Linked DNA regions of Arabidopsis thaliana. The main gene of each other region encodes a partner of the protein of the gene in region 3 in a complex. Each region holds a gene or a part of one and is shown on either strand. Other genes may lie near its edges.

The links.
Region 1: UVH6 (region 3) and AT1G55750 share a complex: the UniProt entries of both Arabidopsis thaliana proteins name them as parts of the 7-subunit TFIIH core complex.
Region 2: UVH6 (region 3) and XPB1 share a complex: the UniProt entries of both Arabidopsis thaliana proteins name them as parts of the 7-subunit TFIIH core complex.
Region 4: UVH6 (region 3) and AT3G61420 share a complex: the UniProt entries of both Arabidopsis thaliana proteins name them as parts of the 7-subunit TFIIH core complex.

The regions. Positions count from the first base shown.
Region 1 is NC_003070.9:20,839,889-20,847,616, reverse strand, and holds AT1G55750 (BSD domain (BTF2-like transcription factors, Synapse-associated proteins and DOS2-like proteins)), read left to right. Parts: upstream 1-1,717; 5' UTR 1,718-1,752; intron 1,753-2,021; 5' UTR 2,022-2,481; coding exon 2,482-2,562; intron 2,563-2,648; coding exon 2,649-2,727; intron 2,728-2,856; coding exon 2,857-2,918; intron 2,919-3,025; coding exon 3,026-3,089; intron 3,090-3,188; coding exon 3,189-3,303; intron 3,304-3,397; coding exon 3,398-3,473; intron 3,474-3,552; coding exon 3,553-3,648; intron 3,649-3,864; coding exon 3,865-3,909; intron 3,910-4,257; coding exon 4,258-4,314; intron 4,315-4,413; coding exon 4,414-4,569; intron 4,570-4,666; coding exon 4,667-4,732; intron 4,733-5,233; coding exon 5,234-5,357; intron 5,358-5,506; coding exon 5,507-5,563; intron 5,564-5,647; coding exon 5,648-5,775; intron 5,776-5,859; coding exon 5,860-6,033; intron 6,034-6,127; coding exon 6,128-6,241; coding exon of another isoform or gene 6,242-6,295; exon of another isoform or gene 6,296-6,355; coding exon 6,356-6,433; coding exon of another isoform or gene 6,434-6,496; exon of another isoform or gene 6,497-6,594; and 7 more. Other genes in the region: AT1G55760 (BTB/POZ domain-containing protein), read left to right, coding at 1-500; AT1G55755 (uncharacterized protein), read right to left, coding at 41-98, 349-484, 1,451-1,502. UniProt on the Arabidopsis thaliana protein: Component of the general transcription and DNA repair factor IIH (TFIIH) core complex, which is involved in general and transcription-coupled nucleotide excision repair (NER) of damaged DNA and, when complexed to CAK, in RNA transcription by RNA polymerase II.
Region 2 is NC_003076.8:16,549,256-16,556,539, reverse strand, and holds XPB1 (DNA repair helicase XPB1-like protein), read right to left. Parts: upstream 5,422-7,284; 5' UTR 5,204-5,421; coding exon 5,194-5,203; intron 5,107-5,193; coding exon 5,063-5,106; intron 4,967-5,062; coding exon 4,894-4,966; intron 4,812-4,893; coding exon 4,643-4,811; intron 4,561-4,642; coding exon 4,338-4,560; intron 4,234-4,337; coding exon 4,177-4,233; intron 3,846-4,176; coding exon 3,702-3,845; intron 3,593-3,701; coding exon 3,512-3,592; intron 3,416-3,511; coding exon 3,328-3,415; intron 3,155-3,327; coding exon 2,817-3,154; intron 2,660-2,816; coding exon 2,584-2,659; intron 2,498-2,583; coding exon 2,304-2,497; intron 2,031-2,303; coding exon 1,867-2,030; intron 1,781-1,866; coding exon 1,708-1,780; intron 1,613-1,707; coding exon 1,499-1,612; intron 1,404-1,498; coding exon 1,323-1,403; intron 1,123-1,322; coding exon 748-1,122; 3' UTR 502-747; downstream 1-501. UniProt on the Arabidopsis thaliana protein: ATP-dependent 3'-5' DNA helicase/translocase; binds dsDNA rather than ssDNA, unzipping it in a translocase rather than classical helicase activity. Component of the general transcription and DNA repair factor IIH (TFIIH) core complex.
Region 3 is NC_003070.9:773,755-780,550, forward strand, and holds UVH6 (RAD3-like DNA-binding helicase protein), read left to right. Parts: upstream 1-1,772; 5' UTR 1,773-1,895; exon of another isoform or gene 1,896-2,053; 5' UTR 2,054-2,067; coding exon 2,068-2,601; intron 2,602-2,727; coding exon 2,728-3,008; intron 3,009-3,400; coding exon 3,401-3,483; intron 3,484-3,581; coding exon 3,582-3,985; intron 3,986-4,117; coding exon 4,118-4,311; intron 4,312-4,398; coding exon 4,399-4,579; intron 4,580-4,731; coding exon 4,732-4,856; intron 4,857-5,052; coding exon 5,053-5,142; intron 5,143-5,247; coding exon 5,248-5,326; intron 5,327-5,419; coding exon 5,420-5,496; intron 5,497-5,783; coding exon 5,784-5,892; intron 5,893-5,989; coding exon 5,990-6,109; 3' UTR 6,110-6,290; downstream 6,291-6,796. Other genes in the region: AT1G03180 (non-structural protein), read left to right, coding at 342-399, 477-785, 898-946, 1,031-1,125, 1,214-1,293, 1,368-1,425. UniProt on the Arabidopsis thaliana protein: ATP-dependent 5'-3' DNA helicase, component of the general transcription and DNA repair factor IIH (TFIIH) core complex, which is involved in general and transcription-coupled nucleotide excision repair (NER) of damaged DNA and, when complexed to CDK-activating kinase (CAK), involved in transcription by RNA polymerase II.
Region 4 is NC_003074.8:22,726,197-22,733,893, reverse strand, and holds AT3G61420 (BSD domain (BTF2-like transcription factors, Synapse-associated proteins and DOS2-like proteins)), read left to right. Parts: upstream 1-1,741; 5' UTR 1,742-2,133; coding exon 2,134-2,199; intron 2,200-2,274; exon of another isoform or gene 2,275-2,297; coding exon 2,298-2,376; intron 2,377-2,463; coding exon 2,464-2,525; intron 2,526-2,611; coding exon 2,612-2,675; intron 2,676-2,778; coding exon 2,779-2,893; intron 2,894-2,959; coding exon 2,960-3,035; intron 3,036-3,125; coding exon 3,126-3,221; intron 3,222-3,305; coding exon 3,306-3,350; intron 3,351-3,651; coding exon 3,652-3,708; intron 3,709-3,807; coding exon 3,808-3,963; intron 3,964-4,065; coding exon 4,066-4,131; intron 4,132-4,677; coding exon 4,678-4,801; intron 4,802-4,984; coding exon 4,985-5,041; intron 5,042-5,160; coding exon 5,161-5,288; intron 5,289-5,376; coding exon 5,377-5,550; intron 5,551-5,645; coding exon 5,646-5,759; intron 5,760-5,899; coding exon 5,900-5,977; intron 5,978-6,109; coding exon 6,110-6,157; intron 6,158-6,354; coding exon 6,355-6,423; and 4 more. Other genes in the region: PIP1A (plasma membrane intrinsic protein 1A), read right to left, coding at 1-237. UniProt on the Arabidopsis thaliana protein: Component of the general transcription and DNA repair factor IIH (TFIIH) core complex, which is involved in general and transcription-coupled nucleotide excision repair (NER) of damaged DNA and, when complexed to CAK, in RNA transcription by RNA polymerase II.

The DNA.
Region 1 (7,728 bases), about 20 Mb from region 3:
CCGACATAACGATCAATGCCTCTGATGGAAGCATTGGAGCTCACCGAGCAGTTCTCGCTGCCCGTTCACCTGTTTTCCGCAGCATGTTTTTACACGACCTGAAAGAGAAAGAACTATCAGAAATAAACGTACTCGACATGCCACTTGATGCTTGCCAAGCTTTTCTCAGTTATATCTACGGCAATATCCAAAACGAAGACTTTCTTATACACAGATTGGCACTCCTCCAAGCAGCTGAGAAATATGATATTGCTGATTTAAAAGAGGCGTGCCACTTGAGTCTTCTAGACGATATCGACACAAAGAATGTGCTTGAGAGGCTACAGAATGCTTATCTCTATCAATTACCTGAACTGAAGGCTAGCTGCATGAGATATCTTGTGAAGTTTGGCAAAATATTTGAGATCCGAGACGAGTTCAACATATTCATGCAATGCGCAGACAGAGATTTGATTTCTGAAATCTTCCACGAAGTCCTCAGTACCTGGAAAGGATTTTAGGGGAAATCAGAAAGGGTATGTGTGCTATAATTATACAAAATACATTTATGGACACTGATTTTTTGTGCAAAAGGATTTGTTGGTCTTTATGTACAGATTAAAGTATTGGGGGTTTTAACTCAAAACCCAAGTATTGTCCTTACAAGGATAAGACAGCAACATGTAAATTCATGATTTGATTGAATGTGAGCTTCTTAGCTTGAACTTTGAATTGTTAATCTATAACACTAATATAGTTTTCTGAACTTTTAAAGTAAAATCTACAATCATCTTTTAGCAATTTTACCCGATTCATGATACTAAAGTTATACCAAGCTAAAAAGCTAAACATACATATCCTCCCATGATCTGTAATCTTCCCTAGTTTATTGTAATGGTGACAGATGTTAAAACATATCATGCTACAAGCAAATTCAACAGGAATGGTTCAGTAGTTTCAGAGAATCAACCAACTAGTTTCTTAGCTAATATGAAAAATTCAAAACAGAGGAATATATACATTCTTCTACTCTAAGACTAGAATCTGTGCTACATACCAATGTGAGTACTACATGGTTTACAGAAACCAAATCTCCGGAAAAAAAAAAATCAGAAAACAACTCCCTGAAACTGAATCAATAGCTACATAAGCGATTTCAGATCGTCTTCAATGGAAACAAAATCAGACTCTAAGACCTCTGAGATCCGCCACAATGCCGGAAAACTAAGAGGAAATTACATAGAAACGAACTCGAATCAGGAAATCTCTGTGACTGCCAAATAATCAGAAACTAGAATGTCGCACGAATCTGATATATGGAATGGATGGTGTTCATGCGTAGGAAAAATCAAAGTGAAAAAGAAGAATCAGACAAGTAAACCGATATGGGTCTAATAGAATCGCAAAATGAAAACGACGAAAACAACAAAATGGAATTTCCTTGCAGAAGAAACTTACCTTCGACAGCTACCTATCACCACCACCATCGCCTTCTTCATCTTCGAATCTGAGATTCGCTTCATCTCTTCCTCCAATTTTGAAGAGAGGGAATATTGTTCTTCATAAGATGCTGGAAAATGAAGATTTTTTTTCAATTATTTTTTCCCGGCAAACGAACTACGTCAATAATGGGCCTTATTAGTGGCCCAAAATATTAAAGACGTCGTTTCATTCTGTAATAAATAGATCCCTAATCAAAAAAACCTCCCAAATTTCGAACTCAAAACTCTTTCTACGTCTACCTTCTTCTTCTTCAGCCGTCGACATCCTCTAGTAAGCCAGCTACTCTTTTCTTCTTCTGTACAGTAATCAGCTTCAATTCTATAGAGCTTTCAAAAAAAATCTATCGTTTGAAGCTTTATCTGGTTTGTGGTCTTTTTTTGTCGATGTCAATTTAGTTGATAAATGCACAAATATGTATCTTTTCTTCTTTTCTGTGTCTATCCTCATTATTGATTTATACTAGAGATTACAGAATTTGGTACATATTGATTATAGTCGTGAGACTATCATAATTTAAGGTGTTGTATGCTATTTTACAGGTTTGAATTTAGTCATTGAAGGTGTTAAAGTCCATGGCAGAGTCTATTCAATCCGCAACTGAAACCGAGCCTATGACGGTTAAGCCATTGAACTTTGAAGGCTCATGAAATGTCTGATGGGAAAGTTCAGTTTAGAGAAGTAGCCGTTCCACCGAACCGGTACTCTCCTCTCAAGAAAGCTTGGTCGGATATCTACACACCGGTCTTTGATCAGATGAAAATCGACATAAGGATGAATCTTACATTTTGATGCCCCTAATTAGTTTTGACTTTTTGTTCATTTTATCACATGACCAATCATAATGGGCCGTAGCAGTTTAATTCGGGTCAGTAAGTTGGGTCATGATTCGGGTCGGATACTTATTCCCGTTCTATAGTATAAACCTAGATTCCAATTTCGCTTGATTTCCGATGAATTGATCGACTGGAAAACAGAGAACCACCGTTTCTACAGTTGGATATGGCTGGTGGGCAAATAGAGAAGCTAGTCAAATACAAGAGCACTGTCAAGGATCCAGGAACTCCTGGATTTCTCAGAATTGTATGAAGATTACACTTTTCGCTCTTATTTGAGTTATATTATCTCTCAGCTTAACTGTTTCTTTTGCAAAATCGAAAAATTTGCAGAGAGAAGGGATGTTGCTCTTCGTCCCTAATGATCCCAAATCAGATTCTAAGCTCAAAGTACTTACTCAGAACATCAAAAGTATTGTTTGTACCTTTTCTCATTAACATTGCTTATTGGATAATAGATGTTGTGTTGATAAACGATTTCAGTTATGATGATAGCTGCATAGTCATTATCAAATTTCACTGTGTTTGTTCAATCTCTCAGGTCAAAAATATACCAAAGAAGGATCAAATAAACCTCCTTGGCTCAATCTCACCAACAAGCAGGTTTTTTCTGTTGACATTTTTTGATTAAAGCTATGATACATTATAGATATGTGAATTTTGAAGCTATATCTCTGTGTTCATTGAGGTTTCCTCATCCTTGATTGTAGGCAAAGAGTCATATCTTTGAGTTTGAAAATTATCCCGACATGCATGCTTGCCGTGATTTCATCAGTAACCTCCATGTCCCTTGGTTTGCTTTTATTGATTGGGAAAGTATTTCTCTTGTTTTCTTTCGTGGTGTTTCTGTAACCTCTTTTTTACTATAAACAGCTAAGGCCCTTGCTAAATGTGAATTGGAGCCTAATAAATCCGTTGTCTCGACATCTTCCGAGCAACTCAGTATTAAGGAATTGGAGCTGCGCTTCAAGCTTCTGAGAGAAAATAGGTATGTAATTGGAACATTAAGTTGCCTTTTTGGGTTCAAAGTTTCATTGGCTCATCAAGTTCCTTCTAATATGAGTAACATACGTGATTTAAAGTGAGCTGCAGAGATTGCATAAGCAATTTGTGGAAAGTAAAGTACTGACTGAAGATGAATTCTGGGCTACAAGAAAGGTTGGTTCTTTGTTTGATTTTTTTAAAAATTTTGTTCTCTTCAATGTCTTCATAGTTACCGACTTTATTCTGGCTGCAGAAATTACTTGGTAAAGATTCCATCAGAAAGTCAAAACAGCAGCTCGGGCTTAAGAGCATGATGGTTTCTGGCATCAAACCATCTACTGATGGGCGGGTATGGTATAGTTATCTCAACTCCTTTCTGGCAGTTAGTACAGCCAATTTAGTTAGCATTTTCATGTGCCTGCTTTTGTAGGAAAGAAACAATGCATCTATATGACCATACACTGATGTGTTCGACTGAATTACATTCATATGTTGATATATATCATATTATCATGTGACATCTCTGCTGGTTTACTAACCACTTTCTTCATTTTTCTTCTTTCAGACTAATAGAGTGACGTTTAACTTGACACCTGAGATAATTTTTCAGGTGAGCTCTTTGGTTCACTATGTTTGTCATTAGTGTAACTGCTCTATCAGTTTCTGAATCCCTCCAAGGTCGTCATCATAAGTTTTTTATATGTTATGGGGTTGAAGTTGCAGCTAGTGATATATTGGGTCAGAAATCCATTGTTAGGTGTTCAGGTTGCATCATGTGCTTGAACTTCTAGTCCAATCTGAAACTACAAATGAGGAATATAAACTTTTTTAACAGTCTTTCACCCACATTCTATCTTGTGCTTGCTTAGCCAGTAAATCCATTGCAAGTAACTTAAATGTTACTTTCGTAACTGCTACAGTCCTTTTCTTACTTATGTTTTCTTCATTACGCTTTCAGATTTTTGCTGAGAAGCCAGCTGTTCGGCAGGCATTCATCAATTATGTTCCGAGTAAGGTAACAAAGACCAGCTCACTGTGACCATCTTTGTTTATAAGGTTAACCCTCAAATACGACGAATCTTAACTGGCTTTGGTAGTTATTTTCCTACGCCAGATGACAGAAAAAGACTTCTGGACAAAATATTTTAGAGCAGAATATCTTTACAGCACCAAAAATACAGCAGTAGCTGCAGCAGAAGCTGCTGAGGACGAGGAACTCGCTGTCTTTCTGAAGCCTGATGAGATATTGGCTCGGGAAACTCGTCACAAGGTTAGGTTTCTTCTATGGTTTAATCATTTATCATATATTTTGTTTGAAAAGAAAATATTTGTGGCATATCCATCTGATTTAAATGTCATCTCTGTAGATTAGACGGGTTGATCCAACTCTTGACATGGAGGCTGACCAGGGAGACGACTACACTCATCTTATGGTAAGTCAACTACCACTGCATGTGAAAGGTTTGGATAATTTCCAAATTGCGCAACAATGGTTGTTGAAAGGAAAGTTCAATGCTCAGTTAACACTGTACAGATTCACACATAGAATAAGTCTTTCATCGAGGTTTGTAGTGTTGATGTTTACGTATTGTCTATCCCTAGTAGAAATAGTATGGGAAGAACTGGGATAATACTAACGGTGTTAAGAATCAAACCTGTACCAATGTGTGTCACTTGTTTCTTTCTTCTAGAATTCTCAGCGAACCTAATTTGAATTGTTAAATCAGGAATTTAGTTTCTTTCAAATAACTCTGAATTAGTGCTTTTGCTTTTTCACAAGACCACTACTTTAATATTAGCATGTGTGAGAAGGAGCTCAAAACTGATATCTAGAAAATATTAATCTTAACATTGACATTGTGCTCTTTGTATGCGGTTGAAACGTTATTTTCAATACACTTTATCGTACTTAATATAACTTTCCCATAACACAGGACCACGGGATCCAGCGTGATGGCACCATGGATGTTGTTGAACCACAAAATGATCAGTTTAAACGATCACTTTTGCAAGATCTTAATCGTCATGCTGCTGTTGTATTGGAAGGCAGAAGCATTGGTAAACACCTCTAAGAACCTCATTTGAATCTTTTTATCTGAATATTTTATAACAGTAGATAGTTCAGGAAGTGTAAACATTTATGTTGGCCTTTTGACTTTAGTTCTTGGTGGTAAATATACAATAATATTCCTGTAATTGGAAAGCAGATGTTGAGTCAGAAGATACAAGGATTGTTGCAGAGGCTCTCACACGGGTTAAACAAGGTATGATGTTTCATTCTGCTAAACAATGCCACGCTTTTTATTCATCTGACCTTGCTATCCATCTCTATTTTACACCCCTGTTAGTAAGCAAAGCTGATGGTGAAACCACCAAGGACGCTAATCAGGAGAGATTGGAAAGAATGTCCCGGGTAGCAGGAATGGAGGATCTTCAAGCACCACAAAATTTCCCATTGGCGCCGCTTTCTATCAAGGTTTGGCTTTCTGCCAATATAAGGTTTTCACAATTGATGATGGATGCTGCGTTAATCCGCTTACCCTTTCTTCTTTGGAATCAGGATCCTCGTGATTACTTTGAATCTCAACAAGGAAACGTCCTCAATGTACCCAGAGGAGCAAAGGGCTTGAAGAGAAATGTCCATGAAGCTTATGGATTACTAAAGGAATCCATTTTAGAGATTAGAGCTACAGGATTAAGTGATCCGTTGATTAAGCCTGAAGTTTCTTTCGAGGTGCTATTCTGTCACATAATAAAAAGTGTGCTGACAAAAGAAATCATTACTTATTGCTTTGTTGCCTGAGCTAAAAATTGCTAACCCTATTCAGGTTTTCAGTTCGTTAACCCGAACCATTGCAACTGCTAAAAATATTAATGGGAAGAACCCACGAGAGAGCTTTCTGGACAGATTACCAAAGTCCACTAAGGATGAAGTTCTACACGTAAGTCCGACATTTTCCAGTGTCCTAAGTGACAAGAAGCTCTATATGTACTAGTTAGTGAAGATTAGGTAGTAATGCATATGGATAAGAGGACTTTTCTTCTTTCATCTACAGCATTGGACATCAATACAAGAATTACTGAAACATTTTTGGTCATCTTATCCGATAACAACCACATATCTTCATACCAAGGTAATGTTATTGCAATTTTCAAATCTCCCAGTCCCAGAAATTGCTATATATATTGATTCCTAGGCTTTCACGGGAAATTTAATCTTATTATACACCAAGAGCAAGTTATTATACCAAATATTTTTCGTCGATTCTTGTGATGTTATATTATTATCATGCAGGTTGGTAAACTGAAGGATGCAATGTCCAATACATATTCAAAACTTGAGGTAAGCTTTGAAATTCTTCATCTTTCTGACAGAATAAGCAACTGATAGTAAATCTGCTATGTTAAAACAGTAGTTCCTAATCATACCAATGCGTTTACGAAAATGAAATTTTTGGGTAAATAAAATTGATGCAGTATTGTAGTCGAATCTTATTTGCATATATATGGTCAACTGTACGGTTTCCTTGATATTAAACTCCATGTAACTCAGGCAATGAAAGAGTCGGTGCAATCTGATCTCCGGCATCAGGTTTCTCTACTGGTTCGTCCAATGCAACAGGTTAGCTTCTTCCAATATCTACGGAAGAGTTTTATACTTTTATTACATCATGTCTCGGTTAAGTCTATATTTTCCACTCATATTGCATCTATATCCAGTTTCTACAGCCTTGCATTGTAATCCGGTTTGAAAATTGATCTTAATCGGTTTTCTCTGCTAGGCTCTTGACGCTGCGTTCCATCACTACGAAGTGGATCTGCAGAGAAGAACAGCTAAGAGCGGCGAAAGACCAAACGGCTACGTATAGAGGACAAAAAAACTAAAACTAAAAAGCTTTGCAAGATCTTTGAATTGTTTCATCAGCCTTGGTTGGTGTTTTTGAAAATCTTCATTTGTCCCTTTTTGTCCGACCATTGAGATACAAAAATGCGTTTATATTGTAGTAATATTTTCTTTTCTTTTTTTTGTTAATTAGGCGTTATATTGTTAACTGCGAGAGACAACAAAGAGATTTTCTCGATCTGAACATTTTTAAGTTTGCAATGTATTAGTAAATTCTCTACAGGCTTTGAGGACGTTACTACAGCTCCAAGAAAGCTCTCAGTGCCATAATTGTTTGGTTATTTGGTTACTGGTGAATATTTATAATAATGGGACAATAATAGAGAAAATGCTTCGATGGCGTAGTAGATTTCAATGTTTGAATCGCATCAAACAACAATCCAAATTAGAAATATATAAAATTCAACATAAAACTTTTTTTGACATAGCATTCATGGATAACTTTTGATTTGAATGATTAATTTACTCATTGTGAGGAAAAAAATAAAAACAGATAAAGTTACTCATTGCTTGTCATATTGACAT
Region 2 (7,284 bases), on a different chromosome or scaffold from region 3:
TTTATTACAATCTTAATATTAACTTTGGATTCAAATATCTTGTATTTCTAATAATTATGTTTTTTTTTCGTTTTTTTTTCCACACTTATGATTTTTATAAGAGTACACTTTAATGAAATAAGATGCTTCAAATGATAGTATAGAGCATTATAATTTGCAACCAATGGGAGTTGGCCATTTGAAGATTTGTGATCATGAAGCTTGTCAAAGAAATAGATAAAGAATATCAATCCGTTAGGACTAAATAGACAAAAAATTAAGTAAATCAATGTAACTGAAAAAGTGGTCAAAATGCTACCTACACAGAACTTTAATTGTAGGTTTAGCTTATAAAAATACAAAAGGTATACATATAAATACATAGGAATAAAAAAAGAAAGAATTATTAACAAATAATATTCCTCTTACGTGGGACGAACATTGATAATTCATTTTATCTCGATTTATCTTTATACATTTTTGCTGTTGTGCATGTTTGTGTTTGGTGAGGGTATCTTACTATCTTACCAACTTCCTCCACAATTGCAAAGTAGCCTCCTCGAAATAGAAACATACACTTACATATTTAAACAATGTCATAATACTTACAAAAAATAAAAATAAAAAAAATACTTACATACATGATACATCATACATTTTTTTATTAATTTAAGTAATTTATTTGTTAATTTCAACAAATTTGCACAAAAGTTACATACAACTCGAAACAAACAGCCGAAAACTCTTGAAAGCTTCTCTTTGTTTCTCTCACACGTAACGTTTTTTGAAGAGATTGTGTCGTTTGGTTGGGTCTTTAGGTTTCTTGAATTGCTGACCGGATTTGTGACGGCCTGAGTTGTATTCCATGTAGACCATTCCTTTTGAACCGGACATTACGCTCATCGATCCCATGCTTCGTCTCGCCTTTTGTAGAGCCATTCCGTCTGTGTCTTCTTCGAGTTGCTCTAAACCGACCAGATCGTCTCCAGCATTCATCACCTTTCCAAGAAGAGACAACTGTTCTTCTTGACTATGGTAGCTCAAGCTTGAACCCGCGTCCGGAGGTGGGAGGCTTGTTATAACCTTAAAGCTGTAACCTTGGTCTATCAAGAACTGTTGTCTTTTCGTCGAATAATACATTTCCTGCATTTTCAACATTCACAATCCTTAAATCAGCCATTCACATGGAGATACGAGTACGGGTGTTTGTATTATCAGTTCAAGTTTCATGTTTCGGGTTTTAGAAAACGAGGTCGGGCAAGAACTGAATCATATTTTGGTTCTAATTCGGGTTCGGTCTGAGGAAATTCAGTTTTTATGCCTACTTCACTTTAGTGATTTACCTGTGTATCTGTCGAAACAAGTGAGTAGAAGAATGCATTGTACTCTTCTTTTCCACCGGCCATTCTATCTTCGAGTTTACCCTGTTTTCATCATATGGAGAAATATCAAAAAAATTTGATCCAACCAACAAGAGAAACTAAAAGAGACACTTAAGTGATGAGTACGAAATTCAAACCTTAGCCCTAAGAATACGACCCAAACGCTGAGCCTCTTGACGTCTAGAACCAGCATGTGACGAAATCTGGATAATCACATTAGCTTCAGGGATATCTATGGAGTTATCACCAACCTGTAGTCAAATAAACCAAACGGAAATTAAGTTCCCTAACGAACATGGAATGGAGGAAGGACAAATTTATATAATGAAGGAAACAATGTTTATACCTTTGACAGGAAGACAGTGTTCACGTCTTTACTGGTTTTAAACGCCTCGAGAATTTTTGTCCTTTCGATATGACTACATATTGAAAAAAAAATTGAATTATCAAATTGGAAATTGAGTGAAAACGAAAAAAGTGTGTTATCAATAGAACTTGAACGAACCTGGTTGCACCATAAATCATTGGTTTCCGGAGTTTCATCGCATACTCTGTAAGCGCAAAAAGATTGTCTGCAAAGACAATGATTTTATCCCCACGTTGTTGTTCATGGAAACGAATCAGAAACTCACAGGCTCTGAACTTGTTAGGGTTCATGACATAAAGTGCCTGCAGATACCAGAAGACCCATGTCAGAACAACTGTCAAGGTTTACTAGCTCCAATTCCATAGACTTTCCATGGTGGTTCTATTAGAGCATTTTCCAAATTAGAAAAGCACACTAAAAAAAGAACCTATATTGATGCTTACAATATTTCAAGGTTCCAGACTACATAAAATTCATGGACTCTAGTGCATCAGATGAAACTAACATAAAGATCAGATATCTAACAATCTCAGATATTATTTTCAGAAAATGCAAAAAAGCATATATTCATGAACCTGCTTTTTCTTGGAGTTCTCTTTCTTTAGATATTCTGCAAAAAACTCTTTGGTCATGGGACACCATACTTCAGCACACTGAACATTTGCAATAAAGCCTCCTTTAACTAAATCTAGCCAATTGGCTTCATAGAGTTTCGGGCCAATGAGGAAGTTCAAATCTGTAATCCTTTCGTCTTCTCTCACAAGGGTGGCTGAACAAAAGTCCAAAAAAGAAACTTAGCTTCTGCAACTGAAGTATACATATGTAAATGTATGTGAAAATGAACCCTTAAATTACCTGTAAGTCCTAGCTTGCAGTGAGATTTTGTGATACTGATAACTTTCCTAAACATATGGGCTGGAACCACATGCACCTAAAACAAAACAGAAATCTTGAAAAGTCAAGCATAGAATGGAAACTTATTGTTTGTAGATCGCATTCATGGGCTCAACACTGGATACACCTTCTCAACGAACATATGACTTTTCCGCAAAATAACTACCAGCAAACACTAACATCAATTTGATTACCTCATCCATGAGCAGTAACCCCCACTCTCTGTTTCTCATTTCTTCTATAATCTTCTCTGATTCCTCAGACCGTTTACCACCAAAGGCAACCATATTATAGGTTGTCACAACAACACCAGCATTTCCACGGAATCGTTCTTTACTATCAGAAGTGAAACGACATATTTGGTCATCTCTTATAGTAGACCACAACTTGAACTGGAAGGCCCACTGATCCACTGAGACAGCATTCGTCGCCAAACAAAGACAACTCTTCTTTATACGAGCAGCTGCAGAAACACCAACTAGAGATTTACCAGCACCACAAGGCAACACTATAATCCCAGATCTTGCTCGCCCTGCAAATCCAAGATTCAAGATCAGTCACAATATTTCTCAAGAAATTACAAAGATAATTATCTATTAGGTGTTCACCATAAAGCTAGATCAGTCACGTGGAAGTACAAGTGGACATATCTATGAGAAGTTCACCATCAATAAGGAAAAATAATGTGGATGCAGACAGCTATACCGTTCCCAAACATTTTGCTCAAACTTTTTTCCTGGTATGGCCTCGGTTGTGCATGGGGCTTCAGTTCCATGTCAAGATCGGGATTAACCTGAGAGACACCATCAAGTTATTAACAATCACACACCTGCGGTGCATATCATCTGGTAAGCAAAAATTGGCCTGAAGTGTAATATTTGTTACTCACATTGTCGTTCCTGAAGTCATATTCCTCTAACATAGGGTAATTCAAGGCATTTGGTAAGCAACGCTGCTTCACATTCTCCACCTAAACACCAAGAGAAAAAGAGCATGACACCACGAGTTAAGTAAAGATCATACAACTTTACCAAACTCATCAATTCGATTACTTTTAAGAAGCATTAGGAGAAATTTACCTGTGCAGGGTCAATCTCAAATGAGTGAGTTTCTTTCTCTTCTGCTGCTGCTGCAAATTCCGCTTCATTCAATAGCTCCCCGGGTCCTGCTTCAAGTTCACCGCATGTTCTGCCGACCGAGAATCCATCACCGCCATAATATGGCTACCAAAAAAGTTAATCTAAGTTGGTTCGACATACTGTGGAGAATACAATGGTATTAGATTAAATAAATCAACAGTCAATGAATCAAGAGTTTAAGAAAAAAGGATTATGAGTTAATTTACCAACTGAAACATCGTTCCAAGGAACTTAGGAGTTAGGAATATAAACATGAAACCAAGAACCTGAGAGAATCAAAATATATATATATCTGCCACACTGGTGACAAAAGATGCAAAACACCGTTGAGAACAACCAAAAATGGTATGTATTTCCATCCAGCATAAAATCTTGAAAGCAAACATAATGAACTAAATGGAGGAGTTCAACATACCTCAGAAGAAAATCTAGCTCGGTTTATAACATCGTCGCTGAGAAGCCTTTTCAAAACCTGAGATTGTTTTGTGTTTACAATTGAGCAAAGGCAATGGAAAAACGAAAACCAATATCCAAATACACAAGAGCAGAGACAGAGCATCAGCCTAATGAACTTACCTCTGGGAATGGGGACTCAATAAAATACCGATTCTTCTTCAAAACCAGCTTTACTTTCCCATAATTAGCAGTAGAAGCATGGATGAACTCAATCATCTCCTTGGGTAGCTTAGTCTTAGACAGTTTATTCAAAACAGAAATGATAGTTTCTGTCTCAAGACCAACGGAAACAGCAGCATACAACGAGTGTGGGGTTAAATTATACTCGTGCATTGACTCAGGCCTGAAATAGTAACAAATGAATGAAAATCAACAACAAAAATCATAACTTGTACATTGATATAATCACCAAATCAAAATCGAACCTGCAAACGGGTTCAGCAATGGCGATAAGAAAGTCATAAGCTTGTTTATAGAGAGGAGAAAATGTCTCCAAGAAAATCCTTCCATCAGCACAAGCCCACAAAGGCCTGTTTCCATGATCTGGCTTCAACTCCAATTTAGTAAAATCTCTCTTCTTCTCCTCTCCTTCACCTTCAAAAACCATTATAACTTTTCAATTCAATTTTGTTCCAAATGTATCCATTTGTAAGTAATAAGTATGCTACAATCTTACCATCACGAGAGTCTTCATCAGCATCATCATAGTAATCTTCAGCGTTTTGGATGTTCTTCATCTTTTGATCATCCTGAGATTTGACAGTACAATTACACTCACTAACTACCATCTGAAGAGCCCTAATTGATAAAATAAAAAATTGATCTGGAGAAGAATCAAGACGAACCTTGCCACCATACTTCATCTTCTTGTTAGGTCTTCCTCTTTCACCTGAACAACAGAACTTCACAGTATTGGCATACTTTTGTTTGGCAAGATAAACTAAGCAAAAATCAGTAAGATCGAGCTGCTTAATACCGTTTCCCATATTGATCTTCTTTTTTTGTCTTGTATCTTCCAATTGAAGTTATCAATTAGCGATTCCTGAGAAGAACAAAGAAGGAAGACAACCGGCGCCGTGAAAATTTACCGTTGAAAGCTATTTGGCGGAGGGAGTAGCTGCGTCCCCGGCGGATTTTGAATCGGATTCGGTGTCGGGTTCGGGTATCACTGGTTTAATCATTAATGTCAAGGAAGGGAAATGTAAAGTAGAAGATTCAAAAGGCTACAAATAAATAACGGATCAAATATGGGCTTTAATAGACCTCTTTTAATGTGGGCTTTCTTATTCTCACGTTGAGCCCATTCTTTTTTCTTTTAGCCTCTAAGATTATTCTTACATATGCAAAATGGGAGATGAAAGACAAACCATAGGATGAGGAAGGAAAGCGCATGAGAGCATGCACATAGTTGGTACTCATAGAGTACCATTAATAATATTTTACTATTAATTTTAATGTTTATTTATTGTTTGAAACTTTTTATAATATTGATAATAAATCTGTTTCCACCGGTGAAATCGTATTAGTATCATTAAAAAAAAAAAATTGCAAAATCGAAAAGATGCGTTTTCCCGACTAATCGAAAAAAAAAATTTCTCTCTTTTCACACAAAAACATGTTTTCCCAACTAATCATAACCCGCCACGTTATCAGAGACTGGTATCAAAGAAATCACTCCAGTGATACTACTTAAACCCAAATCAGTTATTTTATTCATTAATTTAATATTTTTGGGCTTATGATACTCATAAAAATTGTGCAATGTACATGGTCTGAGAATGGGAGACGATTCAATGCCCAAAGAGTTGCCACGTTCTTCTCCTTCTCAAGTGACACAAAGTATGAACCAAGAGGAGACCAATGTACATCCAACGCTCCTGCACAAGACAAATAGCATTACATTACCCCATCTGCAGCAGTATATAATCTCGGTCCCTTAGAGCATCCTCATTGCATATCTTTTATGGGTGTCTTTAAACTTTTAAACTACTTAAAAAAGTGGAAAATAATAAATGGATGTGTCTTAATAGTAGACATTTTACCTGTCAAAAGAGAGAGGGTCTTTAAATTTAATATTATTTAATATGAAAGACATTCATTGGAGGATGTGCAATGAGGATGCTCTTACCTTGGTCATATAGACATTATCTGGATGCACAAAAGAAGCAAGACCTTCTTCTTACCAACGTCTCAAAAACATGTCGGGCCTTCTTCTTACGATTTGGATAACATCTTAACAACTGGGCCATAACGGATGACTAATTGACCCAGATCTTCTTCATCAGTACGACACTTAAAAGAAAAAACACACAGAGTCGGGTCTTCTTCATCTTTCACCTGAACAACAAAATTCCCCAGAATTGACAATACTTTTTTTTGCAGGGTAATATGAAAATTAACCAAAATCAGTAAGATCGAGACTTTTATCGTTCCCCATATTGATCTTTTTCTCTTCATCGAATCAATTTTAGACATTATCTCTTGTCTTTTCAATCGATTATATCAATCCGGTGTCGAAGACAGAAATTCTACGACAGAGGGAAAACAAACGGTACCGTAAATATTTTCCGTTGTAAGCTAGACCGAGAAGCGAGCTGCGTCTCCGTCGCATTATGATTCGGATTCGGTGTCGGGTCCAGGTCCGGGTATGTCGAGTCCGTTACTGAGTTGATGTGATCATGTGAATGCAGAGAACGTTATAGCAGAAATGCAAACTCGATTCATATATAGAAAGGCTACAATAACGGATCCAATATGGGCATTTAGTAGGCCTCTTTTAGCGTGGGCTTTCTTTAATCTCAAATTGAGCCCATTATTATTTTTAATTCGAAATCATGACAAGTAATTATTTTTTAACCTCGAAAACTAAGTACGTTTTACTGTTGTTCAGGATCTGTCAACCAAATTATAATCGTGTTTTATATGTTGGTTCAGCGAGATATCATGACAGTTGACAATAACAAAATAATTTTCAAAGGTATTCTCGAGGCGATATCATGATATGCTAGAAAACAAATATCAAAAAAAAGGAAAGAACTTTCTAATATCAATTAATCAATTCACATAA
Region 3 (6,796 bases):
TGTATCTATTTGTTTGTTCTTCAATCTCTCCGTTAATTTCTCCGATTAGTCTGTTGGTTACGAATTTATCAGAAGAAAAATAGTTTCGTGGTTATGAATTTATGGATTCTGGATGGATTAGTGATTAATTCCTGGTAGGTGAGTTATGTTCAATTCTAGGAGAAATTGAAAAGCTCTACGCAATTGTGCACACTACTTCCTTTTGGTTTTAGAATTAAGTCTGTTGTATCCACTATGAGTGTTTTACTGAAAACCAGAAACTTCAATTTGCAGCTTTGGTTTTGGCTACACAAAGCTCCTTCTACCAATATGACTGTTGTTGGTTATTTACATCTGTGCAGGGTATTACAAGACATGAGCCTTGAATTTGAAGGATTGCAAACTGAATTTATGGATTTGGTATGTTAGTCCTACAGACGCCATTTTCACTTTAAGGTCTAAGGTCTTTTTCACACTCTAAGAATCTTAGGTTGTAGGAGACGAATCTTGCAGAACCTCAAGTGAAACCACTGGTTAGAAGAAAACTGATGAGTAGAAAGAGAGAGGTGAAGAATGAGATTAAGAAACTGGAGAAACTGATGAAAACCATCTCTAGTCTCCGAAGTGCGCTGCAGTTAATGATCCGTGAAGCTCCTGGCATTCAGAAAGTTGTGTTGATTCTTGGTGGTAGTCCATTACGGCCTCAAAATGCTTATGAGTTGTTATTCACACAACGCAGAGACCATGTTCTAGGCTACGAAGGTGACTTTGCTAAATCCAAAGCTGCAGAAGCACTTTCAAAAAAGGTTTATTCTTTTTCTTACCTCTGTTTTCATGTTGCTTGTGATTTGTCTCTTTTCAATTTTATCTGCTGTGATAAGTCAAAAATGGTTGAGCCCTTCACTCTTGGCTTTACAGACTATCCGAGCACTGATCTCGACGGGTGCTGGATCAACTTCCTACCCAGGTAACTTTTGCATAAATTGCAAACTTCTTTAGCATTGTTGTGAATTATGGTGTAATGATTTTTTTCCCTTCTTCTGAGTTGCAGGTCCAATGAGGCTCTTCATATTGGTTCATGCTCCACCTACTTTGAATCTTCCACAACATTTCCTTCCTAAACGTGACTTCAGATACAACAGAAAGGTATACACTTCTCTGCTAATTCTATTTCACACATCCATGTACAACATTCCGATTTTCCGTCACCTGCAAACATCTTTTATTATTGCAGTTTGTGCCTTCAAAGTTGAGATTCAAGTGCAGAACGCAAGACAATGCAACAAATTCTCCTCCCACAAATGATCTAATATGGTACTTCTCTTATTCACAATTCTCCAGTTACACACTAAACAAGTTCTTGACCATGCCTTACTGTGTCATTGCAGGTATCAATGTCGACATGTGATAAAGGGATTAGCTTTCCATCAACCAGTTGAAGAATAAGACTTTAGAGTTTGTTTGTATCTCTCTATTGTTGTAACTAAACCCTGTTGCAAATTTTAGAAAAAAACCAGCATTGTTGAAACAATTCCAAATCTTGAGATGACATTGTACTACTACTACTGCATACTCTAATACTCTGTTGTTTTAACAAAATCAGGATTGTTCAACTATTTTATATTTTTGGACGAATTGTTAACATTTAAAAACCTAATTTTGTCGAGAAGTTTAATATACATAAAGTTAGGGGGTCAAACGCATTAAAATAAATAAATAGGGGGTCAGAATGAAAAAGAAACAAAGCTTTAAGTTTTTCTAATAAGAGTCCTCCTCTTCTGTTTGCTCTGGTTACTTCGGCAAACACAGACGCAAAATTTTCTTCTTCTTCTTCTTCTTCTTCTTCTTCTACCTTGAAGCTGCTACCGGTTCCTCTCTCAGTCGTTGATAACACATCGAAGCTTCCATTATCACCTGTAAGTTTTCTCCTGTTATCTTCTCTTCGCTTGATCTCAATTGTTCCTTCTTTCTCGTTGTTCGGGTTTATCTACTCCAACTTGAATCGCTTGTTTTGCTAAAGTGAATTCGAGTTTTTTAGGGTTTTGTTAGTTCTAATGCCAATTTCGATTTCTAGGTAGGAGGAAGAAGATGATCTTTAAAATCGAAGACGTAACTGTCTACTTCCCTTATGACAACATATATCCAGAACAATATGAATACATGGTTGAATTGAAGCGAGCCCTAGACGCTAAGGGACATTGTCTTCTCGAGATGCCTACCGGAACTGGTAAAACCATTGCTCTTCTCTCTCTAATCACCAGCTATCGACTCTCTCGTCCTGATTCTCCGATCAAGCTTGTTTACTGTACTCGTACTGTCCACGAGATGGAGAAAACGTTAGGTGAGCTTAAGCTACTACATGACTACCAAGTACGCCATCTCGGCACCCAGGCTAAGATCCTCGCCCTTGGTCTTTCCTCTCGGAAGAATCTTTGCGTTAATACTAAGGTTTTAGCAGCCGAGAATCGTGATTCTGTTGATGCGGCCTGTAGGAAACGAACTGCTAGCTGGGTTAGGGCTTTGTCCACGGAGAATCCAAATGTAGAACTCTGTGACTTCTTTGAGAACTATGAAAAGGCTGCTGAGAATGCGTTGTTGCCTCCTGGTGTTTATACTTTAGAGGTAAGATTAAAAAAGTTAAGGTTTTTCACATTTGTTGTTTGATCAAGTTTATGTTTTAGTTGGAATGCTTATTTCGAGGTTACTTGCACATTTTGCCTGATGGTATATGTGTGTTTCGATTTTTAGGATCTAAGGGCGTTTGGTAAGAATCGTGGATGGTGCCCTTACTTTCTCGCGAGGCATATGATTCAGTTCGCCAACGTTATTGTTTACAGCTACCAATACCTACTGGATCCTAAGGTTGCTGGGTTCATATCAAAGGAGTTACAAAAAGAGTCAGTTGTAGTGTTTGACGAGGCCCATAATATCGATAACGTGTGTATTGAAGCACTCAGCGTCAGTGTGAGGAGGGTTACACTTGAAGGAGCTAATCGAAATCTTAATAAGATAAGGCAAGAAATTGATAGGTACGCTAATTTTTTCCTATATAGCTGATACTCCTTAAGTTCTCTTGAACGTGCCACTCTTAATACAACAATAAACACAGTGATAGGGTCTTTTCTTTTTCAATTGAATTTCCTGATTGTTCTTGAATGCCATCTGGGTGTCTGCTCACTCCAGTTGCTAATTGTTGGTTTTCTTAAGGAAGTTTAAGTTAGTAAGAAAATAATCTGGTTTTATGAGACTGCTTTTTGTCAAAGAACTGTAAGGGGAACAAAAATTTACAAACGCTTTTGTCATCATCTTAAACACATGAAGCATAATTTTCTTGGTTCAATACAGGAAGTGACCTGGTTATTTGCTGATGCTTATTTTTAAGTTCTTATTACATTATTGAAATTGTCCAACTGGTAGGAAGGTTCAAGGCTACTGATGCAGGAAGATTGCGAGCTGAATACAACCGGCTGGTTGAGGGTTTAGCACTGAGAGGGGACTTATCTGGTAAGTATGTGTTCAGGAAGGTGATCTGTGATTTGATTGAAAGCACACAGTAAATTTTCTAATTCTATGAACTTGACGCAACAATTTTTTTTTTGCAGGAGGTGATCAATGGCTTGCAAACCCTGCACTGCCTCATGATATTCTAAAGGAGGCTGTCCCGGGGAATATTAGACGGGCTGAGCATTTTGTGCATGTTTTACGCCGATTACTTCAGTACTTGGGGGTACGGCTGGACACTGAGAATGTAGAGAAAGAAAGCCCTGTTAGCTTTGTATCGTCACTGAATTCTCAGGCTGGAATTGAGCAGAAAACACTGAAGTTCTGTTATGACCGGCTCCAGTCTCTCATGCTAACCCTTGAAATTACAGATACAGATGAGTTTTTGCCTATCCAGACAGTGTGCGACTTTGCAACTCTTGTTGGGACATATGCCCGGGGATTTTCCATCATCATCGAGCCTTATGACGAGAGAATGCCCCATATTCCAGATCCTATATTGCAGGTAAATATGGTGTTGACCTACTTTCTTTTGAGTATTGTCACTGGGATTTTAAGGGATTATGACTCACACGTAAATGCTACCGTTTGAATAATTGAGAATTGTATCTGAAACATATATCCTTTTGTATCTTAGTTGAGCTGTCATGATGCGTCTCTGGCGATCAAACCGGTGTTTGATCGTTTCCAGTCAGTCGTGATTACATCAGGCACATTGAGCCCAATTGATCTTTACCCCCGTCTTCTTAATTTCACTCCTGTTGTTAGTCGAAGCTTTAAGATGTCAATGACACGAGACTGCATCTGCCCTATGGTTCTAACTCGGGGAAGGTATGTGGTATATAAAAAGAATCCTGAACACTTAACTTATTTTTTAATTTTATATGTCTTGACATTATTGGTTGTTTTCTTTTTCAGTGATCAGCTTCCTGTTAGCACCAAATTTGACATGAGAAGTGATCCTGGTGTTGTGAGGAATTACGGAAAGCTTTTGGTAGAGATGGTATCTATTGTTCCTGATGGAGTTGTCTGCTTCTTTGTTAGTTACTCATATATGGATGGCATTATTGCTACATGGAATGAAACTGGAATTCTGAAGGTAAGGTCTTCTTCATCGCTTTACCATGCCAGTAATTTTTTCAGAGTTTTGCATGAATTGGAATTTTTATGATACCTCAAAATATTTTTAGTTGCTTCAGGCATTAATGTATATTTGTTTACTGATATTACCAATTCTCTTAATGTTTGTAGGAAATAATGCAACAGAAGCTTGTTTTCATTGAAACACAAGATGTTGTAGAAACAACATTGGCACTGGATAATTATCGCAGGGCTTGCGATTGCGGAAGAGGTGCAGTTTTCTTCTCTGTGGCCAGGTAAAATTTTTATTTTTGAATGGTAGATGGTTTGGGAATTCATTGCAATGCGTCTTTGGTTCTGCTTCTTTGTTTCTGTATTATAATACTGGAATTGTCTCTTCTCTCCTATTCTTGGTTGGTTAACAAATATTAAAGAGGTTTCACTTTTGAGAAATTTCAAAGAAAGTGATCAAATTTTGTATTTGAACTGCAGGGGGAAAGTTGCTGAAGGTATCGATTTTGATCGTCATTATGGAAGACTGGTTGTAATGTACGGAGTACCATTCCAGTATACATTAAGCAAGTAAGTTGTACTCAAATGAATGTTTATCATTTCAATTTCCGGTTTTCTGCTTTTATATTTCATCGTACTTGGGAGATGATAAGATGGAAACGGGAAAAATTTCAGGATATTACGAGCAAGATTGGAGTATTTGCACGATACATTTCAAATAAAAGAAGGCGATTTCCTAACTTTTGATGCCTTGGTATGATTCTTATTTTATGATCTTATTAGATTTTGGTGTGCAACTCTTTTACCTGTTTGTGACTGTTGTTAACTCTTTTTGGCTTTAACACAGAGGCAAGCAGCTCAATGTGTAGGGCGAGTAATCCGGTCAAAGGCTGATTATGGGATGATGATATTTGCAGACAAAAGGTACATGCCCGCCTTAAGTTTTCTCTCTCTGAGTCTGGTCATTTAGATTCTTGCTATTTTACTAAATGGGATTCTCTCTATAATCTATCTAGTATGATAATAAGTATATGCGCAAGTATCTGAGATCACCTCGAGAATAGAAGATTGTAACAGAGTTCACACTGTTCCTTAGGAATGGGAAAATATTCGTAGGACAGAAGAGAGACACAGATATATGCTTATGTTGGTTTATAATGTCACATTTCTATGGTCTAACAATACACTGCAATTGATGGTAAAACTTGCAGATACAGCCGTCATGATAAGCGGTCCAAACTACCTGGTTGGATACTTTCGCATCTGCGTGATGCACACTTGAATCTAAGCACTGATATGGCTATTCACATTGCTCGAGAGGTAAACCTATAACTCGCTGCTTTTTTATAACTCACAGTGAAACAAACAACAAGGCATAAAGAATCAACAATTTTCCTGGTTTTTGTTTTTTTTGCAGTTTCTTCGGAAAATGGCTCAACCGTATGATAAGGCGGGTACAATGGGAAGGAAAACTCTGTTGACACAAGAAGATTTGGAGAAGATGGCTGAGACTGGTGTGCAAGACATGGCTTATTAGTAAATCAGTTTGTTTGTTATTTTTTGGTTTAGGTCAATCAAAAATTGTTGTAGCAAAAATTTTCACTGTAGGTATTTTGTTCTTTTTCTTGATGATTTTCAAGAATCGAATTGAAATTTAAGGCTCGTAAAAGTTTCGTTTTGGTTTTAAATCTATTGAAATTAGCAAAATTTATGCTTAATGTTAAGATAACTAGATTATCATATTCACTCATTACATCATTTTAGATCAAGAAATACTTCGTCGGCTCCTTGTTAAATCTATCAAACATACCACTAAAAAAAAAAAATCTTAAAGAATGATTAAATAAATTTAACCAAGCAGTAGAAGTGGAATTGAAATTGGCAGAGTTAGTGCGACGACCCAATCACCTGTCTCCAATAACCGCCTCAAAAACTGTCGAAGCCCATTGGGCACTTGCAAAGCCCAACAGTTGGAGTTCCAGCTCACCCACTAGCCGTTATTACGCAGGCTAATTTTTCAACGTGCGAGAAACCAGATTTCCTTTTTCCCGAAGACTATTTAGGGAATTTCCTCTCTTGAGCCAAATTTTCCTTTTTCCCAAGGGGGGTATTTAGGTATTTTCGTCTCTCTCGGCCAAGTTTCCTTTTTCCGTTCCTCCGTAATAAAGCTTTCATTCTTTTTGTAGGTTTCCATTAGAAGTTCAGAAATACTGTTTATAAATAC
Region 4 (7,697 bases), on a different chromosome or scaffold from region 3:
CGGTGACCTTTTCACTCCCATAACAGTCAAGACAGTGATGTAGAGAAAGAGAAAAGTAGCGATGAACTCAGCGATCCCAGCTCTCCAAAAAGACCATGAAGAAAGCTCACCAGGTTCGAAAAACGGAGCTGGTGGTGGTTCCTTGTAGTCCTTGTCACTCTGAGCTGATGTTCCGATTGGTTGTCTCTCCGGGAACTTGTTAGCTCCAACTCTAACGTCTTCTTCCTTGCCTTCCATATCTTCGATCTCTGTAGAGAGAAATTGTAAAGCTCTGTTTTTTTTCTTCTTCTTCTTCTCTGAGTGTGGGATTTGAGAAAGTAGAGTGGTTAATTATATAGTTGGAAGATGTAATGCAAAGAAAGTTGAGAAATAAAAAATAAAGACGATGATGACAAATTGACAATAACATAAAATTTTGTTAATGTTATCTTCGTAGTAATCATACTTACTAAATAAATCTAATTATTGGATTGGGTCAGTGATAATTTAACCGTTTGGACTTTGGACAGAGTTTTGAATGCTCCATTCCAGCTATTTTTGTAGTTTTATCAGTAATGTTTTCTAATCAAAAATAGATCAATGTCTGTTTTTAATAATCCCTCATGATTGTCACTAATTTGGTTAGTTACTAACTGTTACGAACAAAACATGATCCTCCAGTTGAGATGATCTGGCGTTTGCCAGCCAGGATAAGAAGTTAAGAACATCTGTACCATAAGCACCATGCACATTCATTATGTACCATGACTATGACATTCTCCATAATGATTAATGAGTGTACCTACAGAGTTGGGAAATTAAGAGATAGTACCAATAATTCTGTTTTTTCTCTCTTCATGATCGTCTAAACTAACTTTTTTTATTTATGATGATTGATAATCGTTATCGAACTAGTGAATAAATTTTTTCTATCATCAAAGTTACAAAGCACTGGTTTGTGCCAAGATTACAAATTATTTGTTCCTACCACAAAACGTAAGTAGTGTACTAATTGCCAAATAGAAAAGACAATGTTAAAGAAAACAAAAACATGCTTAGTGGTTGCTATATTGTTCTGGAATGGGCCCTATGGCCCTACGCTCTTGTAGCATCCAAGGGCCATCTTGATTACCACCTAGTATTTTCCAACTCCTTATCAATCATTTTGACACTGTAATTAAGTAATTAATGATAAAAAAGGCTCATGTGAGATACTTTCTCAAACTAAAAATCCACATTTACACGATTTGAGGACCTTCAATCTTTAAATTATTATTTTTATATGTATATTTAAGCTGCAAAATAGAAACACTTAAAACCAAAATGTTGAAACATCAGCTAAAATCACTAGCCACTAAAAAAAAAGACCGACCCATTAAGCCTCATGACATGATAAAAGAATGTGTGAAGTGTGATTTTGGAATTTTTATGTTGGAGACTGATTATTTAATAGCCGTCCAATGCATCGACGATAAGATACGTGGAGTCATACCACCTAATGCCGGCGCCTTACATATCCAAAACCGACCATTTATCTTATGACATATGTACTCGATCAATTTATTAATTTTATTGTGGCTGCTATTCATGATTGCATTTGCCCCACCTAGCCACCCCCATTTGCGTCACGGCTCCATAAAAAAAAAAAATATTCATTGACCAAACACAAAAAAACAAGCGAAAATTACCAATGTCCTCCTAACATGAAATTAATAAGACAAATGTTATCGTCTGCCTATAATAAACTAAAAAAAAACAATAAAAAAAAGTTGCGACTTTTAGCTCGAGACAATAAATGGGCCATACATATACGGGCTTAAGCTAACAACACTACTATTGATCGCAGGCCCGGTTAAACAAGGCTCGTACACGTGGCTCTTGAGACTCATCAACTTCGGGTGTGAACTGTTGAACCATCTCAAGACATGAGCTATCACGGCTCGTACACGTGGTTCTAACCACCTCATTATCTCTCGAACTTAAAATTAACAAAATTCCCAAATTATTTAGCTATTTTTGTCTGATCTGCCGACGCTAGCCGTTCTCCTCCGCCAGATTCAAATATTTCCTCCGCCGTCGACACTCCTTACCTCCTCCGGCTCACAAACTTAATCCACCAATTTTACCATGCTTTAGAACCTTGGGCATATATCAATGGAGAAGCGAGTCAAATACAAGAGCTTTGTGAAGGATCCAGGAACTCTTGGATCCCTCGAATTAGTAAGAATACTTTAACTCTTTGCCACTATATGATTTCTATTTTTGTTTCCTTACTCAATGGTTTTTTTCTCAAAGGATCTTCCAATTTTTGTTCTCAGAGTGAAGTGATGCTGCTCTTTGTCCCAAATGATCCTAAATCAGATTTGAAGCTTAAAGTTCAGACTCACAACATCAAAAGTAAGTGTTTGATTATCCATATTGTTCATTCAGATTTATCATGAATAATTTCTCTAAATGATTATTGTGCCATGTTAAATTTCTCAGGTCAGAAATATACCAAAGAAGGATCAAATAAACCTCCTTGGCTCAATCTGACCAGCAAGCAGGTTGTTTTTCCTCGGCCCTTTTTGCTCAAGGCTAAAAAATATTGATAGGTGTATCACTGAAGTTTCCTCGTCTTTGATTATTACAGGGAAGGAGTCATATCTTTGAGTTTGAAAATTATCCTGACATGCATGCTTGTCGTGATTTCATCAGTAAGCTCCACGTGCCATGATTTGGTGTTATTGATTCATTTTAAGTATTTTTTCTGTGTTTCTTTCGTGGTGTTGTTGCTGTAACCAATTGTGCTATGAACAGCTAAGGCCCTTGCTAAATGTGAAGAGGAGCCTAATAAACTAGTTGTCTTGACACCTGCTGAACAACTTAGTATGGCAGAATTTGAGCTACGCTTCAAGCTTCTTCGAGAAAATAGGTGTGTAATCACTTATAAAAGTTGCTTTCTTTTTGGGTAAAAGTTTCTGATATTATGATAATGAAGTGAGTTGCAGAAATTGCATAAGCAATTTGTGGAAAGTAAAGTCCTGACGGAAGACGAATTCTGGTCTACGAGGAAGGTTGGTTCTTTGTTTGTTTCCTTGATGTTTCAGTTTTGCTCTTCTCGTAAGTCTCAATCGTAATAGTTATCAACTGTGTTCTGATCGCAGAAATTACTTGGTAAAGATTCCATTAGAAAGTCAAAACAACAGATGGGGCTCAAAAGCATGATGGTTTCAGGCATCAAACCGTCTACTGATGGCCGGGTATGGTATAATACATCCATTTGCTGATAAATTTTATATGACATTTCATCTGGTTTAACCTCTCTTCAATTTTTGATCTTTCAGACTAATAGGGTGACGTTTAACTTAACGTCTGAGATAATTTTTCAGGTTAGCTATCTGGTTCACTATCTTTCTCATTGATGTAAGGGCTATATAAGTTTCTGAATTTGAATCCAAGCGCGATCCTCCAGGGTCGGGATAAGTTTATATGGCCAATGGGGTTGAAGTTGCAATTGGTGATATATTGAGTCATAAATTCATTACTAGATGTTCGGGTTGCATCATGTGCTTGAACTTACAAATTCCAGTGGGAAACTAGAATTGAAAAGTAAAAACATTTTTAACTAAATGCTGCTTCATTCATACTACTGTCCTTTTCTCACATATGATATCTTCATAACTCTTTCAGATTTTTGCTGAGAAGCCGGCTGTTCGCCAGGCATTCATAAATTATGTTCCGAAAAAGGTAACAAAGACTTCAGCACTCTGACCATCTTTGTTTATTGGTTTAATCATCAAATACAATGATTCATAACTGCCTTTCGTAGTTATTTTTCTACGCCAGATGACAGAAAAGGACTTTTGGACAAAATATTTTAGAGCAGAATATCTTTACAGCACAAAAAATACAGCAGTAGCTGCAGCAGAAGCTGCTGAGGATGAGGAACTCGCTGTCTTTCTGAAGCCTGACGAGATATTGGCTCAGGAAGCTCGTCAAAAGGTCATTTCTTTTTTATAATTAATTATTTCCATGTCATTTGCTTAAAAGGATAATGATTGTGGTCTAACCAATAACCATTTATTTTAAATGTCATGTTTGTAGATGAGACGGGTTGATCCAACTCTTGACATGGACGCTGACGAGGGAGATGACTACACCCATCTTATGGTAAGCCAACTATCAACTCATTCTGCATCAAGGTTTATTGAAACGATAATTTCAAGTTAACAGTGTAGAAATTTCCACAGATAAAATAGGTCTCTCATCGGCTTTTTCAGTGTTGGTGTTTACATATTGTCTCACCCTAGAAGTAGTAGTAGCATGAGAAGCATTGTGCTCCATAGATGATACTAATACTGACGGTGATAAGCATCAACTTGTAACAGTGTGTCAAATGTTTTGTTTTCTAGAATTTCATCAATCCTTTTATAAGTTATTCAATCAAGAAAATTTATGTTCTCACAAATGTAAATTATGGACTGTGTAAACTATATTTGAATTATGTGATCTATTTCTTGCTTAGAAATTGAATTTCATTTAGTGCTTTATCTCCCACTCAGGTCCATTACTTTATATTAGCCTAACGCTAGTATCCAGAAAACAGTGATCTTATAACTTACATTTTGCTCTTTCTATATGTTGGTTGAAAGGTTATTCACATTTTCTGCTGGATCATATTTTATTTTGTGCTTAATTAAATTTCCTGTCACTCAGGACCACGGGATCCAGCGCGATGGCACCAATGACATTATTGAACCACAGAATGACCAGCTTAAGAGGTCACTTTTACAAGATCTTAATCGTCATGCTGCTGTTGTATTGGAAGGAAGATGCATCAGTAAACACTTTCAACTCTGATTGTTTCATCTGGTGTTTTGTGTAACAGTATAAAAAATAGCCATCAAATGACTTCCCAACAGATAGTTGATGAGGGATAAACATGTATTTTGGCCCTCTGCTTTTAGTTCTTGGTGGTAAAGTATACAATGATACTCACTTATTCTTTTATACTGGAAAGTAGATGTTCAGTCTGAAGATACGAGAATTGTTGCAGAGGCTCTCACACGGGCGAAACAAGGTTTGCTGTTTCATTATGATATGCTCTACTTATCTTTTTCTTTTTCTATGCTGATCAATGGCCAATGCTGCAATTCATATTCATCTGACCTAGGTATCCATGTCTATTACCCCTGGTAGTAAGCAAAGCTGATGGTGAAATCACCAAGGACGCTAATCAGGAGAGGTTGGAGAGAATGTCCCGTGCAACAGAAATGGAGGATCTTCAAGCACCACAAAACTTCCCATTAGCACCACTCTCTATCAAGGTCTTGGCTTTTTGTGATAAATAGGTTTACACTGTTGATGATGAAAGATGGTGCGTAAATCCTCGTACCTTCTCTTGTTTGGAATCAGGACCCTCGTGATTACTTTGAATCTCAACAAGGAAACATCCTCAGTGAACCCAGAGGAGCAAAGGCGTCAAAAAGAAATGTCCATGAAGCTTATGGATTACTAAAAGAATCCATTTTGGTGATTAGAATGACGGGATTAAGTGATCCGTTGATTAAACCTGAAGTTTCCTTTGAGGTGCTATTCTATCTCAATATAAAATGCATGCTGCCTAAAGAAACCATGGCTTATTGCTTTGTTCCCTGAGCTAAATATTGCTAAACCCTATCCAGGTTTTCAGTTCGTTGACCCGAACTATCTCAACTGCCAAAAATATTCTCGGGAAGAACCCGCAAGAGAGCTTTCTGGACAGATTACCAAAGTCCACTAAGGATGAAGTTATACATGTAAGTCTGACATCCTCCAATGTCCCAAGTAACAAGCAGCTCAATATATACTGATTACTGTAATTTGGTTAATAATGCCTATGGATATTGTTGTCCCCTCAAATGCATCAATACTTTTTCCTTTTTTCTCTCATATACAGCACTGGACATCAATACAAGAATTAGTGAGACATTTTTGGTCATCTTACCCAATAACAACGACATATCTTAGTACCAAGGTAATGTTGTTGCCACTTCACATTCTTCCAATCATAGAGTTTGCTATGTACATAGATTCTTCAGGATCAAATTGAAATTTATTTACACTGAGAGGAAATTCTTATACTAGGATGTTATATTTTATCATGCAGGTTGGTAAACTGAAGGATGCAATGTCCAATACTTATTCACTACTCGATGTAAGCTATGGAATTCTTCTTCAAATCTTTTTCTCGGAGTAATGCGTTAGAAAAGTAGTTCATTATATCTTCATACGAATGCATTTACACAAACATGAAATTTGGGTAAAATGAATAGGTGCAGAGTTGTAGTCGAAACTTACAGCATATGGTCTAGTGTTTATGGTTTCCGTAATATTATACCGAATGTAAACCAGGCAATGAAACAGTCGGTGCAGTCTGATCTCCGGCATCAAGTTTCCTTACTAGTTCGTCCAATGCAACAGGTTAGCTTCCTTCCAATTCATAGATAGTTTTATTACATCATGTCTTGGTGAAGTCTTATTTTTTCCACTCGCATTGTATCGATCCAATTTAACCAGCAAAACCAGACATTGCGTTGTAATCCAGTTTATGAATTGAAATCTGAGTGATATTAACCCGTTTTCTCCACCAGGCTCTTGATGCTGCGTTCCAACACTACGAATCGGACTTGCAGAGAAGAACCGCTAAGATTACATAGAGAACGTTTTGTACTTGGAAAGAAAGAGATTTCCTTCGACAAAAAATTAAACATTGGACTGAACATTTAGATTTTGTAGTGTAATAGATAAGATTCTTAAAGAACTTGAGTGAGAAGCATCATTAGCGGGATTTGGCCAAGAATGTTGCTTGTGCTACAAGGAACCTCTCAATACCCCAATTGTTTTTTTTTTGGGTGGCAAAACAGTTGGTTAAGAACTTGATTGAGAAGCATTAGCGGGGTTTGGTTAAGAATGTTGCTTGAGCTATGTAGTCACTGAATCGGTCATTAAACTCTCATAAACAGAAATCGATGATGCTAATACTATTGTTTAGTTAAAGGTTAGATATGTTGCTAATGAATTTGTTTAGTTTTGTAAGAGCATAGTGATAATTGAGAAATTGGATAATATATAGAGAAGACGATGGGAAGTGTATAGGGGTATTCGGGTTTAATTAACCTAGCATTTGTTTTGAGAATGTTTGTAATAAATTTGTTTACCATAAAAAAACCTTATAGAAATTAAATTAACCTAACCTAAAAAAAAATAAAAAAATGAAAAATGAGAATAAGAAAGAAAGAAAGTGAAGACAGAAAGGTTCACAGAAATAGCCATCTAGAAGAGCCTCACCGACTTCATCAGCCACCAACGAACCCTGAGATTCTATTTTCATCATCTCGAGCCATGAGCCATCGCGGCTCGTACACGTGGCAATTATAACCCACTCCATTTTCTCTCTTGTCTTTTTTTTTTTTTTGCGCGAGAAAAACTTAATTATTAAAAAGAAATCCCAAAATATTATTAAGCCCTTCTTTCTCTCTCTTATCCGCTCCTGTCTCTCTCTCTCTCTTGGTCTGTTTCTGCCGCCGCCGTCGCCGTTATCCCCCGCCAGATTCAAATCTTTCTTCCACCATCGTCACTCATTGCTTCTCCTCCGGTCGTAAGGTACGACACGCTTGTATTCTTCTTATCTATTGCTTTCTCATCGTCGTGTTTCTCCATTATATGTATCTCTCTATGCGTGTGCTACTTGTTCG